Xenopus tropicalis: one gene and its partner. Each later gene encodes a partner of the first gene's protein in a complex. Links are inferred from orthologs where the notes say so. Each region holds a gene or a part of one and is shown in the gene's direction. Other genes may lie near its edges. The genes, in order: cacnb1 and cacng1.

Evidence for each region.
Region 2: cacnb1 (region 1) and cacng1 share a complex: the UniProt entries of both Homo sapiens proteins name them as parts of the calcium channel complex. The link is inferred for Xenopus tropicalis from reciprocal best matches to the Homo sapiens genes CACNB1 and CACNG1.

The regions. Positions count from the first base shown.
Region 1 is NC_030686.2:10,379,579-10,387,110, forward strand, and holds the start of cacnb1 (voltage-dependent L-type calcium channel subunit beta-1), read left to right. Parts: upstream 1-3,351; 5' UTR 3,352-3,385; coding exon 3,386-3,472; intron 3,473-4,567; coding exon 4,568-4,654; intron 4,655-7,532. UniProt on the Homo sapiens protein: Regulatory subunit of L-type calcium channels. Regulates the activity of L-type calcium channels that contain CACNA1A as pore-forming subunit.
Region 2 is NC_030686.2:51,106,512-51,113,766, forward strand, and holds the end of cacng1 (voltage-dependent calcium channel gamma-1 subunit), read left to right. Parts: intron 1-2,449; coding exon 2,450-2,524; intron 2,525-2,658; coding exon 2,659-2,796; intron 2,797-4,118; coding exon 4,119-4,345; 3' UTR 4,346-5,176; downstream 5,177-7,255. UniProt on the Homo sapiens protein: Regulatory subunit of the voltage-gated calcium channel that gives rise to L-type calcium currents in skeletal muscle. Regulates channel inactivation kinetics.

The DNA.
Region 1 (7,532 bases):
GTACTGGGATGCTGGGGGAGAGCAATGACATTAAGTGCTGCAGCAGCTTGTTAGGGAAATGCAGTGTATCCATGCCAGGCTGGAGGAGGCAGCTTCATGACTCAAGTCCATTGGAAAACAGTAGTCATTATCTACTAACTGTAGATATTAGTATCACAATAGCCTTGGATACTATGCTTGTTCAAGAACTCATCCAGGCCCCTCTTATAGGCATTAAGAGAATCTGCAGTAGTGGGTGCCTTTTCCTGTGTGGTTCCTCAGATCACTTATGTTGTATCTGGACAGTCGTATTGGGATTCCTTGTGCTGTTTATGGCCCATCAGGGATCAGTGTAAACAAATATTGAATGATGACAGCACAATCGCCATGGTTTTTTTGTCCACAATGTAAAAGGGGAAACACAGTGGTCATTTCTGGTGTTCAGAATGCAAGTAGCGTCTGCACCCAATTCTTTAGGCACAAGTGTGCTTTGGCTATTTGCACTTGGCGCAAAGGGGCCACGTCCTGGGCATAAGGTTCCCCTGTGTGAATAGGTGCAGCATCATTTAGATTGGAACACAGGAAGGTCTGAGCGACGCAGAGCGCAACTGTTCAGAAGTGCAAGGAGCGTGTTTTGACACAAGTTCTAATGGCGTTCACTACCTCAAAGCTGCCAAATGCATTTACAAGTGAAAAAGATGAACAATGTTTTCATAAAGAAACTCACCACAGAATGCACAGATCTGGGCCTGACCTCTAATTCAGAAAACTGTTGCATTTTCAAAACACTCATAAAGCTTCTTAAACACATTAGAGTTGGCCTTGGTAAGATAAGATAAGATATAGTCAGGTTTTGTTTGGAGGAGTTATAAGATCACAAAAGCAGTGGCTCTCAAAGTATGGAGTACTCACAAGAGGGGTTGGGCTTGAGGGTTAGTTCAAATGAGGTTTGGGGAGCATGAATATTTGGTCTCATAGGTATATCTATGATCGGTTAGGTTGAGATTAGAGGTAAAACCAGTGTCAGATACCAATGGGTCCAATCAGGACCGTTGCCCCATTGATAAAAGGGAGCCCAACATAGAAAGAGGGATGAGGCATGGGCAGGTCAGGGATGGGACCTTGGGTGGGGGGGGGGGGGGTGTTGAGGCTAATATAAAACTGATTTTCTCTATCTGTAATTGCGAGCTAAGGGGAACCCTAAATAAACCCCCATATGTAATAAAAGGCATAACGCTTGCCCAGGTACAGTAAATCATAGCAACCAATAAGATATTTGCTTTTAAATAGGTGCAGTCGTAGTACTTACTAATTGGTTGCTATGGGTTACTAGGTCAGTGGCAAACTTTGCACATTTTGTTAAACATTTGACTGCCAAGGGGGGCTTGAACACTACAAAATTTTAGTGGTATACCCACTGTATTTTACACATGGCACTATTTACCCTGGTTGGCCATGATGTATGATTTACAGAATTCTTTAAAAGGCTACAGGTTAGAGAGCACTAATATAAAGCCAATGGCCTACAGCATTTTGTCCACTTTCACACACACTGAGCTTAGAGTAACTGTTCAGGATTGCAGTAGTCAAAATGCCACACCTGGCACCACACCACACCTAACAGCAGCTATCAGCCTTACTAACCCAAGGGTCCTGAGTTTGATTCCAAGTAGGGTCTCCCTGAGTTTTCTTTAAGTATTCCTGTGTCCTCAGCCACTCCAAATACATACAGGCAGGTTTGTTGGCTCCTAATGAAACTAACTCTAGTGCATGTGTGCTAGGGACCTTAGATTGTAAGCTCTTCTGGGAAATGAGGATCAGTGTCTTTAAAACATTGTAAACATATATACACTACAATGGCAACCTATTTCTAAAGAAGATGAAATCTGTGGGAGGGATAATAAAGGGTATGTTCAATTTTAAATTCATTGTTAGTATGATGTAGGGCAGCGATCCCCAACCAGTGATTCGGGGGCAACATGTTACTCACCAACCCCTTGGATGTTGCTCTCAGTGCCCCAAAACCAGGGAGTTATTTTTGAATTCCTGACTTGGGGGCAAGTTTTGGTTGAATAAAAACAAGATTTCCTACCAAATAAAGCCCCTGTAAGCTGATAGTGTTCATAGAGGCTGCCTAATAGCCAATCACAGCCCTTATTTGGCACCTCCATGAACTTTTCTGATGCCTGTGTTGCTCTCCAAGTCTTTTTACGTTTGACTGTGGCTCACAAGTAAGAAAGGTTGGGGAGCCCTGATGTAGAGAGTGCTATTTTGAGATAAATTGCAATTTGGTCTTGTTTTGATTTATTTAGCTTTTTTGATCAGCAACTCTCCAATTTGGAATTTCAGGAGCTATTGGGTTCTATGGTCAAATTTAACCTAGCAACCAGGCAGTGGTTTGAAAGTGAGACAGGAATATAAATAGAGGAGTGCCTAAATAGAAATATAAGTAATAAAAAGTAACAATAAAAATGTAGCCTCACAGAGCAATTGTTTTTTTCTACTACCAGGGGCAGTGACGCCCCATTTAAAATAGTTGGAAAGAGTCAAAAGAGAATAATTCAAAATAAAAATGAAGACCAATTAAAAAGTTCCTAAGACTAGGCCATTTTCTAACATACTAAAAGTTAACTTGAATGTGAACCACTGCTTTAAGCTTCTTTACGTTTTCTCTGCTATCCTTTTGGGTCCTACAAATAGCAGACCTTAACAATGATAATCCTCTCTCTTTATGCACACAGCAAGTAACAAGCAAACCTCCTGGCTTTTTATATTCTTTTTATAATAATACCCTGTGCTGTGTATGGAGATGCTCCGTAGGCATATAGGTACGAGTGCTGATGTGGAAACTTATTGCATTAGTGCCGATCAGTCAGTGCTGTAGCCTGTTTGTGTGCTAGGATGCATCAGGGAGATCTGCTGTGGGTAGTGTTGCTAGGAAGAAGTCAGTTGTCTGCCATCATTGTTCCTACCTCCTGCTGCCCCCTCCTTTCCCATCTCTTCCAGCTATCTGCCTGCCTGCCCCCCTCTCTCTCTCACTCTCTCCAATGCACTGCTCTCTTCTCATCTTATACCCTCTAGATTCCCGTGCCATGTTCCTTTTCTATGTTCTCCCCTGGCACATATGGTACTGAGCCTGACTCCCAGTCCGTTAAATCACCTCTTGTGTCTCTGACTTGCTCCACCTCTTTACTCCTCACTCTCCTCCTCTCTGTACCTCTCCCATCCTCCTGTCTCTCTCCATCCCTTTCCCTGCCCCTTGCCTCCTGTCTCTCTTCTCCCCTCCCCAGTTCTGCCCTTCTCCCCCTCCTTATTTCCTCCTCTCTCTCCTGGCTCCCTTGCAGTCCTGGATCTGGATGTCATGAGTGCAGTGTGATTTGGGGAATATGTGGGGGGAGACACACCAATGGTCCAGCAGAACAGGATGGCCAGGACCCCGTCCAGCTCCACACAGGAGATCCAGATGGATGTGTTAGAGGGGCACAGCCTACAGGTGAGACATATACATGGGGGGGGGGTGCATACATTGATGGCTGGCTATGCTAATACACAGAGAGATTATTATTATATTTGTGATAATTGAAAGATCAGGCTATATGTATCTGTATAATAAAACAGTCCAATATAGATAGATAGATAGATAGATAGATAGACACACACAGGACCTGTATAGGTTGAGAACATAGACACAAATGGAGGCGCGAGGGAGAAAGCTGCAGGTTAACTGTGACACAGAGACAGACTTGCAGTGAAAGGGAGACAGTCACAAAGGATAGTGAGAGTGTCGAGAGGCACAGCTGCATGGAAAAGAAAGACAGAGAGAGCTATAGGGGAATAAGATGGGAAATAGAAGGCTAGATGGGCAGGAAGCGGCAGGGGCAAATGCAAAAGGAAACAGCTGGTTGGGAGCAGGGAAACACAGCCCGGGGTGCAAGTTACTAATATGTAGCCTTTATGTCTAGCAATCACTGTGCCTCGGGTCTGCCCATTCCATCTTCCCAGTCATGGATACAGGGGGTATCTGCTGGATATTCCTATTGTTTCCTCCACACTTAAACTAAGTACCACATAGAAATGGCAGAAATCTCTATGAGGTTATTTAAGTTAATGGTGTGTAACACAGGGGCATTGCTAATGGTTCAGGGCCACCTCTATACCACACCCAAACATCTATGTCCACAAAGACTTTTAATTCTACCTCTTCACCCAGGTAATTCTATGCCTGCACAGACTGTCACTTCATATCACCCTGTGTTTTGCTTCTGAGGAGAAAAAAGATTTATTTCTCTGGGGTTAGGGGTCCCCTCAGTGCCCCATGACCGGGTTACAGCCCCTGTAGCTGCGCCCCTCATGTAGAGGGAAATAAGGAATTATAAGGGGAACAATTGTTACAGGGAGGGATTACACGGTGCAGTAAGATGTGTATGTACCTGACGTAGGAAATTGCTTTGTGGGTCAGAAGGGTAAAGTTATAGGACGTATAATAATAGAAAACATATGTTGACTGTTCTATTCTCCTTTATGCCTCCCTTTTCTTTTTTCTGTTCCCCCCATTCCTAACCCCTCCCTTCACTTCTTTATTTCCCAGGCCAAATATGCCAAGAGGAAAAGTCGTTTTAAGCGTTCAGATGGCAGCACCAGCTCTGATACCACCTCCAACAGCTTTGTGAGGCAGGTGAGAGTCATGCTCAGTGCTGTTCTGTGCTACAGGCCTGGCGTGTGTGTGTGTGTGAGGAAGAGCACACAGGCCTCGTTAGGCCCCGGTCCTGGTTACCGTGGCAACCAGAGCCAGGGAAGAGATGCTCCTACGTCAGGAAATGGAAATGACAAACGCTAATTAACTGCCTGCAAGGGAGGGAGATTGGAGAGTGCAAAGAATGAGAGAGAAGATAGATAAAAGGGGGGGGGGGTTGAGGCAAGAAAGAGGAGAGTGAATACAAGTTGGAAAAAAAACAAAGACGGTGTTACAGCTTCTTCCATGTATATTTATAGCACATACATGACATGATATACACGTATGTCAGGCTGCTCTATATGACTGTGCTGGTGCCTTACTGAATGGTATTGTATGTGTTCAGACCTGGACTGTGATTCAAAATAGGCCCTGGCATTTCAAGTACACTGAGGCCGAAACAGCCCCCCAGCAGCCCAATAAATAGTGACTGTCTGTGGCATCTTACAGCAGCCCCTCTGGCATTTGCCTGAACCCACAGATTGCCAGTCTGGGCCTGTATGTGTTAGGGTAACTTCTGTAATGAGTGCCAGCAGCCCAAGCCTTAAGGGAAAAAATGATACCAGACACAGGCATGTGTACATATGGAAGTATATTTATTATTTTATACATGGGTTGTCACACCTGCTGCTTGCACACCAAATATTTTACGGTGTAGTAGTGTGTTTGTGTGAGAGAGCAAAATGTTGTACTGTATGTATATCTTATTTTGTGGGCACAGGGGTAGGTTACCATTACTGCTGATTTTCCATATATCACTGTGTAAGGTTTTGTACCCAGGAAGTTGTACAGTGTACATATGTCATGGTGTAGAAGTGTGTTTCATAACAAGGTTATACTTCCAGTCGGATATTCTGTGCTTATCAAATAGTTGGGTGCAAGCCCGGACTGGGAGTTAAACAGGCCCTGGCATTTCAGGTACAATGAGGCTCAAACAGCCCCCCAGCAGCCCAATAAATAGTGACTGTCTATGGCATCTTACAGCAGCCTCTCTGGCATTTGCCAGAACCCACAGTCTGGGCCTGGTTGTGAGTACATTGTATAGAGGATATCACTGCCATTGACTGGATGTGGGTGCATGGTGCACAATTTTGCTACTGCTGCTGTTTGTGATATATGTGTAGTCTAATAGTGAGTAGGAGAGACTGTCACCAATGTGTTTGGGCTATACATACTACATAGGGCAGGAAGGTGCTATGTGCTGCTTCTATTGTTGCAGCAATATGTGACTTGGGGGCAGTGTTGATGAGTGTGTGTATGGACGGATGGGGTGTCTTTAGTGGTGATGGGGCCCATGGAAAAACAGAGTCCCCAGGCTTTGCAGAGCCTCTGCAGTCAGACTAATTGCACCCCCAGATAGAGCTCTAGATAATTCTGCTGCTGGTTGACATGTGTGGATATTATGGTGTATGTGGCAGAGTGGCAGAGTGGCAGAAGGTTGAACAAAAATAACTTCTCTTGCCGAGTGAAATAATGGTGCTTCTATGTCTGACAACTGCTGAATCCAAATGTAACTGGTTGGTCAGGAAATCTGCAATGTAAACTGTATAGGGCTGCTGTGTGAGGGAAGTGGTACAGCAGCCCAGAATGGCAGCACCCACTCACAATTGACAACACGGTGTCATGATGGTGAAAATGATCCAGTCCTGGATTTTTCTCAGCCAAAATTCCTAATCCCACTAAATAGTAACATAAAATAAGGTCTCAAAAGTTAGTATGGTTATCATGCAGCTGCAGGTATATGTTGCCGATATTGCATGGTTCCATAAGGTGTGTGCATAGAGGTGACAGCTATCCCCGCTGCTAGTGTTACCTTGTTAATACATCATGATTTCCATGTAGAGCACTACTATTGATTGTGTTATCATATACAATGGTGTAGAAGTGTGTTGGTGGAAGGAAGGTTGCTGTGGGGTGGGGGAGAGGTGATCACTGCTTCTAGTTGGGCTGTGTACATACATCAAGGTTTTGTGGTGGGGGAGGGGGGTAGTAGTCACAGCTGGTAGAATGTATTCATATATCATGGTGCACTAGTGTGTGTGTGGGGGTTAGAAGGCTGTCACACAGTCCCAGCTGTTGTGTGTGTAGTGTGTGTGGGGGGGTCTGCCATTGCTTCCGCTTCTGTACATATGCTATGTGGGGTATACATATATATAATGGTGTTTGGGTGTGTATGATAGGTAGTTTGTGTTTTGTGAGTTTGTGAAATGTGAGGAGTTGGTTACTTCTTGATTGGACTGCACACATATATCCTGGTCTGGTATGTGGCTTTGTTTGTTTCACCCAGGCCCAGACTGGCAATCTGTGGGTTCTGGCAAATGCCAGAGGGGCTGCTGTAAGATGCCATAGGCAGTCACTATTTATTGGGCTGGGGGGGCTGTTTGTGCCTCTGGGTACTGGGAATGCCAGGGGGGCTGTAAGGTGCCACAGACAGTCACTATTTATTGGGCTGCTGGGGGGCTGTTTGGGCCTCTGGGTACTGGGAATGCCAGGGGGGCTGTAAGGTGCCACAGGCAGTCACTATTTATTGGGCTGGGGGGCTGTTTGGGCCTCTGGGTACTGGGAATGCCAGGGCCTATTTTGTATCCCAGTCCAGAACTGATAATTCTCCACTATGAAGGAGGGAAGGATAGATACAGGCCCGGACTGGCAATCTGTGGGTTCTGGCAAATGCCAGAGGGGCTGCTGTAAGATGCCATAGACAGTCACTATTTATTGGGCTGGGGGGGGGCTGTTTGTGCCTCTGGGTACTGGGAATGCCAGGGGGGCTGTAAGGTGCCATAGGCAATCACTATTTATTGGGCTGCTGAGGGGCCAGAGA
Region 2 (7,255 bases), about 41 Mb from region 1:
CTTCATACACAGGCCCAGTAAGTACCACAAATATGTCACATGGGGCCCAGGGGGCAGATGGTGGGCACAGGGCCCATTCACCCAGCACAAGGGGGGGGACTTGCCAGTCACAATGTCATGTGATCAACCCCACAATGGAAACCCTGGGAGGGAGGAGCAATCAGTTAGGCCCCGCCCCCCATGTAGAACTCAATATATAAATATGGGGAGGCAACTGGGGAACGAATATTCCAACAAACGAACTTGATCCCTCGGCCCCAGTGGGAGTAATCGGCTCTTTATTGGCTGCTACTATTTCCCAGTTGCTTCCCAGTATAGAGCTGGTGTTTATGGGAAGGACTGAGTGACTGTGGCCCCACACACAGATACCCCAGATCCCTAACAGCCCCTGCCCGGGGCAAAGATGGAGATAGTAGGGCAAGATGGAGACAGTAGGGCAAGAAGATGGGGACAGTAGGGCAAGATGGGGACAGTAGGGCAAGATGGGGACAGTAGGGCAAGATGGGGACAGTAGGGCAAGATGGGGACAGTAAGGCAAGATGGGGGCAGTAGGGCAAGATGGAGGCAGTAGGGCAAGATGGAGGCAGTAGGGCAAGATGGAGACAGTAGGGCAAGATGGGGACAGTAGGGCAAGATGGGGACAGTAGGGCAAGATGGAGACAGTAGGGCAAGATGGGGACAGTAGGGCAAGATGGGGACAGTAGGGCAAGATGGGGACAGTAGGGCAAGATGGGGACAGTAAGGCAAGATGGGGACAGTAGGGCAAGATGGAGACAGTAGGGCAAGATGGGGACAGTAGGGCAAGATGGAGACAGTAGGACAAGATGGGGACAGTAGGACAAGATGGGGACAGTAGGACAAGATGGAGACAGTAGGGCAAGATGGAGACAGTAGGGCAAGATGGAGACAGTAGGACAAGATGGGGACAGTAGGACAAGATGGGGACAGTAGGACAAGATGGAGACAGTAGGACAAGATGGGGACAGTAGGGCAAGATGGAGACAGTAGGACAAGATGGGGACAGTAGGACAAGATGGGGACAGTAGGACAAGATGGAGACAGTAGGGCAAGATGGGGACAGTAGGACAAGATGGGGACAGTAGGGCAAGATGGAGACAGTAGGGCAAGATGGGGACAGTAGGACAAGATGGGGACAGTAGGGCAAGATGGGGACAGTAGGGCAAGATGGAGACAGTAGGACAAGATGGGGACAGTAGGACAAGATGGGGACAGTAGGACAAGATGGAGACAGTAGGGCAAGATGGAGACAGTAGGGCAAGATGGAGACAGTAGGACAAGATGGGGACAGTAGGACAAGATGGAGACAGTAGGACAAGATGGGGACAGTAGGACAAGATGGAGACAGCAGGGCAAGATGGAGACAGTAGGGCAAGATGGGGACAGTAGGGCAAGATGGAGACAGTAGGACAAGATGGGGACAGTAGGACAAGATGGGGACAGTAGGACAAGATGGAGACAGTAGGGCAAGATGGAGACAGTAGGGCAAGATGGAGACAGTAGGACAAGATGGGGACAGTAGGACAAGATGGAGACAGTAGGGCAAGATGGGGACAGTAGGACAAGATGGGGACAGTAGGACAAGATGGGGACAGTAGGACAAGATGGGGACAGTAGGACAAGATGGAGACAGTAGGACAAGATGGGGACAGTAGGGCAAGATGGAGACAGTAGGACAAGATGGGGACAGTAGGACAAGATGGAGACAGTAGGGCAAGATGGAGACAGTAGGGCAAGATGGGGACAGTAGGGCAAGAGGGAGACAGTAGGACAAGATGGAGACAGTAGGGCAAGATGGGGACAGTAGGGCAAGATGGAGACAGTAGGGCAAGAGGGAGACAGTAGGGCAAGAGGGAGACAGTAGGGCAAGAGGGAGACAGTAGGGCAAGAGGGAGACAGTAGGGCAAGAACGCCAAGTAAAGTAACATGGCAGCCAATCCCCTGCCAAGAAAGACCCCCTTACACAGGGACCCACATACAATAAGGAATTGCCCCCCACAGAGTCACCCCACTCTCACACTCACCCTACAGCACAATCAATAACCAATTGGGATCAATACCGATAGACAGATACAAAGCTGAACGTGGGAGCAGTTTAACCATGTGAGTGCCACATGGCCAAGGGAATATGGTCAGGGGGGTGGAGCCAAATCTCTAATAATCGGTGCAGGGAATCCCATGGGAATAAGGTCAGGGGGGTGGAGCCAAATCTCTAACAATCAGGGTGCAGGGAATCCCCAGAACCCCAGAGATAACAGCAGTTGTTCCTATTGGCTGTCGATAGCTACAAGGCAAAGACCTGATGATAAAATAATCACTTGCATCAAGTTCAGTCCGACTGCCAAACTGGTACCTGGTTGCTAAGCACAGTTACCTTAGCAACCAGATGGCCGCGCAGAGTGATCTGACCCCCGTTGTGTTGCCCCCCCAGAGCACAGCTGCACCTACTTCAAGCATTTCACTTCAGGGGAGAACGCGGATATTTTCGAGGTGACGACGCAGAAAGGTGAGGGGCCCATTGTGACATCACTGTGCGTTTGTCTCCCCAATGTCCCTGCCCCCCCAACCCTCGTTACTCGTTGTGTATGTCCCAGAAGCCTCCACTCTGCCCTCTCACCCCCTGATCTTGCCCCCCCCCAGAGTACAGCATCTCGGCAGCCGCCATCGCCATCATCGGAGTGGGGTTCATGACTATGGGCACAGTGTGCACCCTGCTGTCCTTCAAGGAGAAGCTCGACTACCTGCTCAAACCCGCCGGCCTCTTCTTCATCTTTGCAGGTTTGTACCCCCAGTGCCCCTAGAAACCCCCATGTCTCTGCCACACTCAGGGGCAAATCAGGGAGGCAACAAATCCGCCAACATTGTAAGCCAACAAGGCAAGGGGGCTAGGGCACCCACTCATAGCAGCCTACAGGGGGAGGGGCAGGGAGTCTGTGACTCAAGCAGTGGGTGGGACTAGAGCCCTCTGATGGCAGCTTATAAGGGGGAGGGGCAGGGAGTCTGTGACTCAAGCAGTGGGTGGGACTAGCGCCCTCTGATGGCAGTTTATAGGGGGAGGGGCAGGGAGTCTGTGACACAAGCAGTGGGTGGGACTAGCGCCCTCTGATGGCAGTTTATAGGGGGAGGGGCAGGGAGTCTGTGACCCAAGCAGTGGGTGGGACTAGAGCCCTCTGATGACAGTTTATAGGGGGAGGGGCAGGGAGTCTGTGACACAAGCAGTGGGTGGGACTAGAGCCCTCTGATGGCAGTTTATAGGGGGAGGGGCAGGGAGTCTGTGACCCAAGCAGTGGGTGGGACTAGAGCCCTCTGATGACAGTTTATAGGGGGAGGGGCAGGGAGTCTGTGACCCAAGCAGTGGGTGGGACTAGAGCCCTCTGATGACAGTTTATAGGGGGAGGGGCAGGGAGTCTGTGACCCAAGCAGTGGGTGGGACTAGAGCCCTCTGATGACAGTTTATAGGGGGAGGGGCAGGGAGTCTGTGACCCAAGCAGTGGGTGGGACTAGAGCCCTCTGATGACAGTTTATAGGGGGAGGGGCAGGGAGTCTGTGACCCAAGCAGTGGGTGGGACTAGAGCCCTCTGATGGCAGTTTATAGGGGGAGGGGCAGGGAGTCTGTGACACAAGCAGTGGGTGGGACTAGCGCCCTCTGATGGCAGTTTATAGGGGGAGGGGCAGGGAGTCTGTGACTCAAGCAGTGGGTGGGACTAGAGCCCTCTGATGGCAGTTTATAGGGGGAGGGGCAGGGAGTCTGTGACCCAAGCAGTGGGTGGGACTAGAGCCCTCTGATGACAGTTTATAGGGGGAGGGGCAGGGAGTCTGTGACCCAAGCAGTGGGTGGGACTAGCGCCCTCTGATGGCAGTTTATAGGGGGAGGGGCAGGGAGTCTGTGACACAAGCAGTGGGTGGGACTAGAGCCCTCTGATGACAGTTTATAGGGGGAGGGGCAGGGAGTCTGTGACCCAAGCAGTGGGTGGGACTAGAACTCTATGATGGCAGCTCACAGGGGGAGGGGTTTGTGCTCAGCCAATGCAATACATCCAGTTAAACAGCTGAATTCCCATCTAAGAAACATTAGATTAACCCCCGGCTTGCCGTTGCAGGGCTGTGCATGATTATCTCGGCGGAAGTGATCAGACAGTCGGTGCACCGGATGATAGACAGTAAGGAGACGGTCTGGATCGAGTATTATTATTCGTGGTCCTTCGCCTGCGCCTGCGCCGCCTTCGTGCTGCTGTTCGTGTGCGGCGTCGCCCTGGTGCTCATCTCCCTGCCGCGCATGCCCAGGAACCCCTGGGAGACCTGTATGGACGCGGAGCCCGACATGTGAGGGGAGATTCCGGGGGGTCACGGACCGGAGATGGACCCCCGACATTCACTGACTGAACTCAATGGGCGAGTGAGGGCAGAGGGGGTGGCGCACCCCAATATCTCGCTTCTTTCCTGTATAGTGTAAGCTCCTCCCCAAGGCTTGGCCAATGGCGTAACCAGGAATTACTGGGCCCCACAGCAAATTCATTTTGGGCCCCCACCCCCTGTATGGAACCCCTCTGGGTGTGTAACTAGTGGGAGGGGGATTTGGGGGCCCCCACCCCCTGTATGGAACCCCTCTGGGTAACTAGTGGGAGGGGGATTTGGGGGACCACACCCCCTGTATGGAACCCCTCTGGGTAACTAGTGGGAGGGGGATTTGGGGGACCCCACCCCCTGTATGGAACCCCTCTGGGTAACTAGTGGGAGGGGGATTTGGGGGACCCCACCCCCTGTATGGAACCCCTCTGGGTAACTAGTGGGAGGGGGATTTGGGGGACCCCACCCCCTGTATGGAACCCCTCTGGGTAACTAGTGGGAGGGGGATTTGGGGGCAGCCCCCCTACAGCAGCTGGGATTCTCTCCCTGCCCCCAGCACCTTTATTTACTGGATTATTTCACTGGCTTTAAATAGCGTCCCCCGGCCTGTGCCCCCCCCCCCATTACAGGAATAGACACCGACCCATAGGGAGACTGAGGGACTCACAGGGCGTCGTTACAGCTGCAGAGTCGGGGGGCTCAGGGGGTGGGAAGATATGAGAAATAATGTGTGACTTTGGCCTTTGTGGTGTTTATCTAATCACTGAATGTCTTTAAATTTCAAGGGTAAATAGAACCAAGTTTTACTTTATCATCTGTGCATTTGCCTATTTCTATGGAAAGGGAGCTGCCATAGTGCCCAAGGGTGCCAGGAGCTGCCATAGTGCCCAAGGGTGCCAGGAGCTGCCATAGTGCCCAAGGGTGCCAGGAGCTGCCATAGTGCCCAGTCCTCCTGGAAATCATCTCTGGGGTGGGGGCTGAATGGCATCTCTGATTGGCCAAGCGACATACCTTCTCCATATGTGACTGCAATGACAGCACCAGGTACACCAACTGTATCATAAAAATACACCTACAGGGGGCACCGGGGGTTCTACAATTACAGTAATACACCTACAGGGGGCACCGGGGGTTCTACAATTACAGTAATACACCTACAGGGGGCACCGGGGGTTCTACAATTACAGTAATACACCTACAGGGGGCACCGGGGGTTCTACAATTACAGTAATACACCTACAGGGGGCACCGGGGGTTCTACAATTACAGTAATACACCTACAGGGGGCACCGGGGGTTCTACAATTACAGTAATACACCTACAGGGGGCACCGGGGGTTCTACAATTACAGTAATACACCTACAGGGGGCACCGGGGGTTCTACAATTACAGTAATACACCTACAGGGGGCACCGGGGGTTCTACAATTACAGTAATACACCTACAGGGGGCACGGGGGTTCTACAATTACAGTAATACACCTACAGGGGGCACCGGGGGTTCTACAATTACAGTAATACACCTACAGGGGGCACCGGGGGTTCTACAATTACAGTAATACACCTACAGGGGGCACGGGGGTTCTACAATTACAGTAATACACCTACAGGGGGCACCGGGGGTTCTACAATTACAGTAATACACCTACAGGGGGCGCCAGCGGTTATAGTTACACTATTGCTACCAGCGGTTACCAGAAGGACTATAAATACATTACCCCTGAAGGGGCACCAGCAGTTATACAATCAGAGTATTGCCCCACATGGGGCACCAGGAGTTATACAATCAGAGTATTGCCCCACATGGGGCACCAGGAGTTATACAACCAGAGTATTGCCCCAGGGGGGCACCAGCAGTTATACAACCAGAGCATTGCCCCAGGGGGGCACCAGGAGTTATACAACCAGAGTATTGCCCCAGGGGGGCACCAGCAGTTATACAATCAGAGTATTGCCCCACATGGGGCACCAGGAGTTATACAACCAGAGTATTGCCCCAGGGGGGCACCAGCAGTTATACAATCAGAGTATTGCCCCACATGGGGCACCAGGAGTTATACAACCAGAGTATTGCCCCAGGGGGGCACCAGCAGTTATACAACCAGAGTATTGCCCCAGGGGGGCACCAGGAGTTATACAACCAGAGTATTGCCTCAGGGGGGCACCAGGAGTTATACAACCAGAGTATTGCCCCAGGGGGGCACCAGCAGTTATACAATCAGAGTATTGCCCCACATGGGGCACCAGGAGTTATACAACCAGAGTATTGCCCCAGGGGGGCACCAGCAGTTATACAACCAGAGTATTGCCCCAGGGGGGCACCAGGAGTTATACAACCAGAGTATTGCCCCACATGGGGCACCAGGAGTTATACAACCAGAGTATTGCCCCAGGGGGGCACCAGCAGTTATACAATCAGAGTATTGCCCCACATGGGGCACCAGGAGTTATACAACCAGAGTATTGCCCCAGGGGGGCACCAGGAGTTATACAACCAGAGTATTGCCTCAGGGGGGCACCAGCAGTTATACAATCAGAGTATTGCCCCAGGGGGGCACCAGGAGTTATACAACCAGAGTATTGCCCCAGGGGGGCACCAGCAGTTATACAACCAGAGTATTGCCCCAGGGGGGCACCAGCAGTTATACAACCAGAGTATTGCCCCAGGGGGGCACCAGCAGTTATACAATTACAGTATTGCCTATTGCCCCTGTAGGGGGCAGAAGTAGAAAAGAGACGGTACCTGCACTTTGCCTCTGCGCTTCTGACGGGGGGGGCGGGGGCAGGTTGGTGGGGGGGGGGGGTCAGTCGTTGCCGAGTAACTGCCCCTGGTGCAACTTTGTATCTGCCCCACCTTCCCCTCTGGCCCTTCTCTCTCACCCCTGCACAGG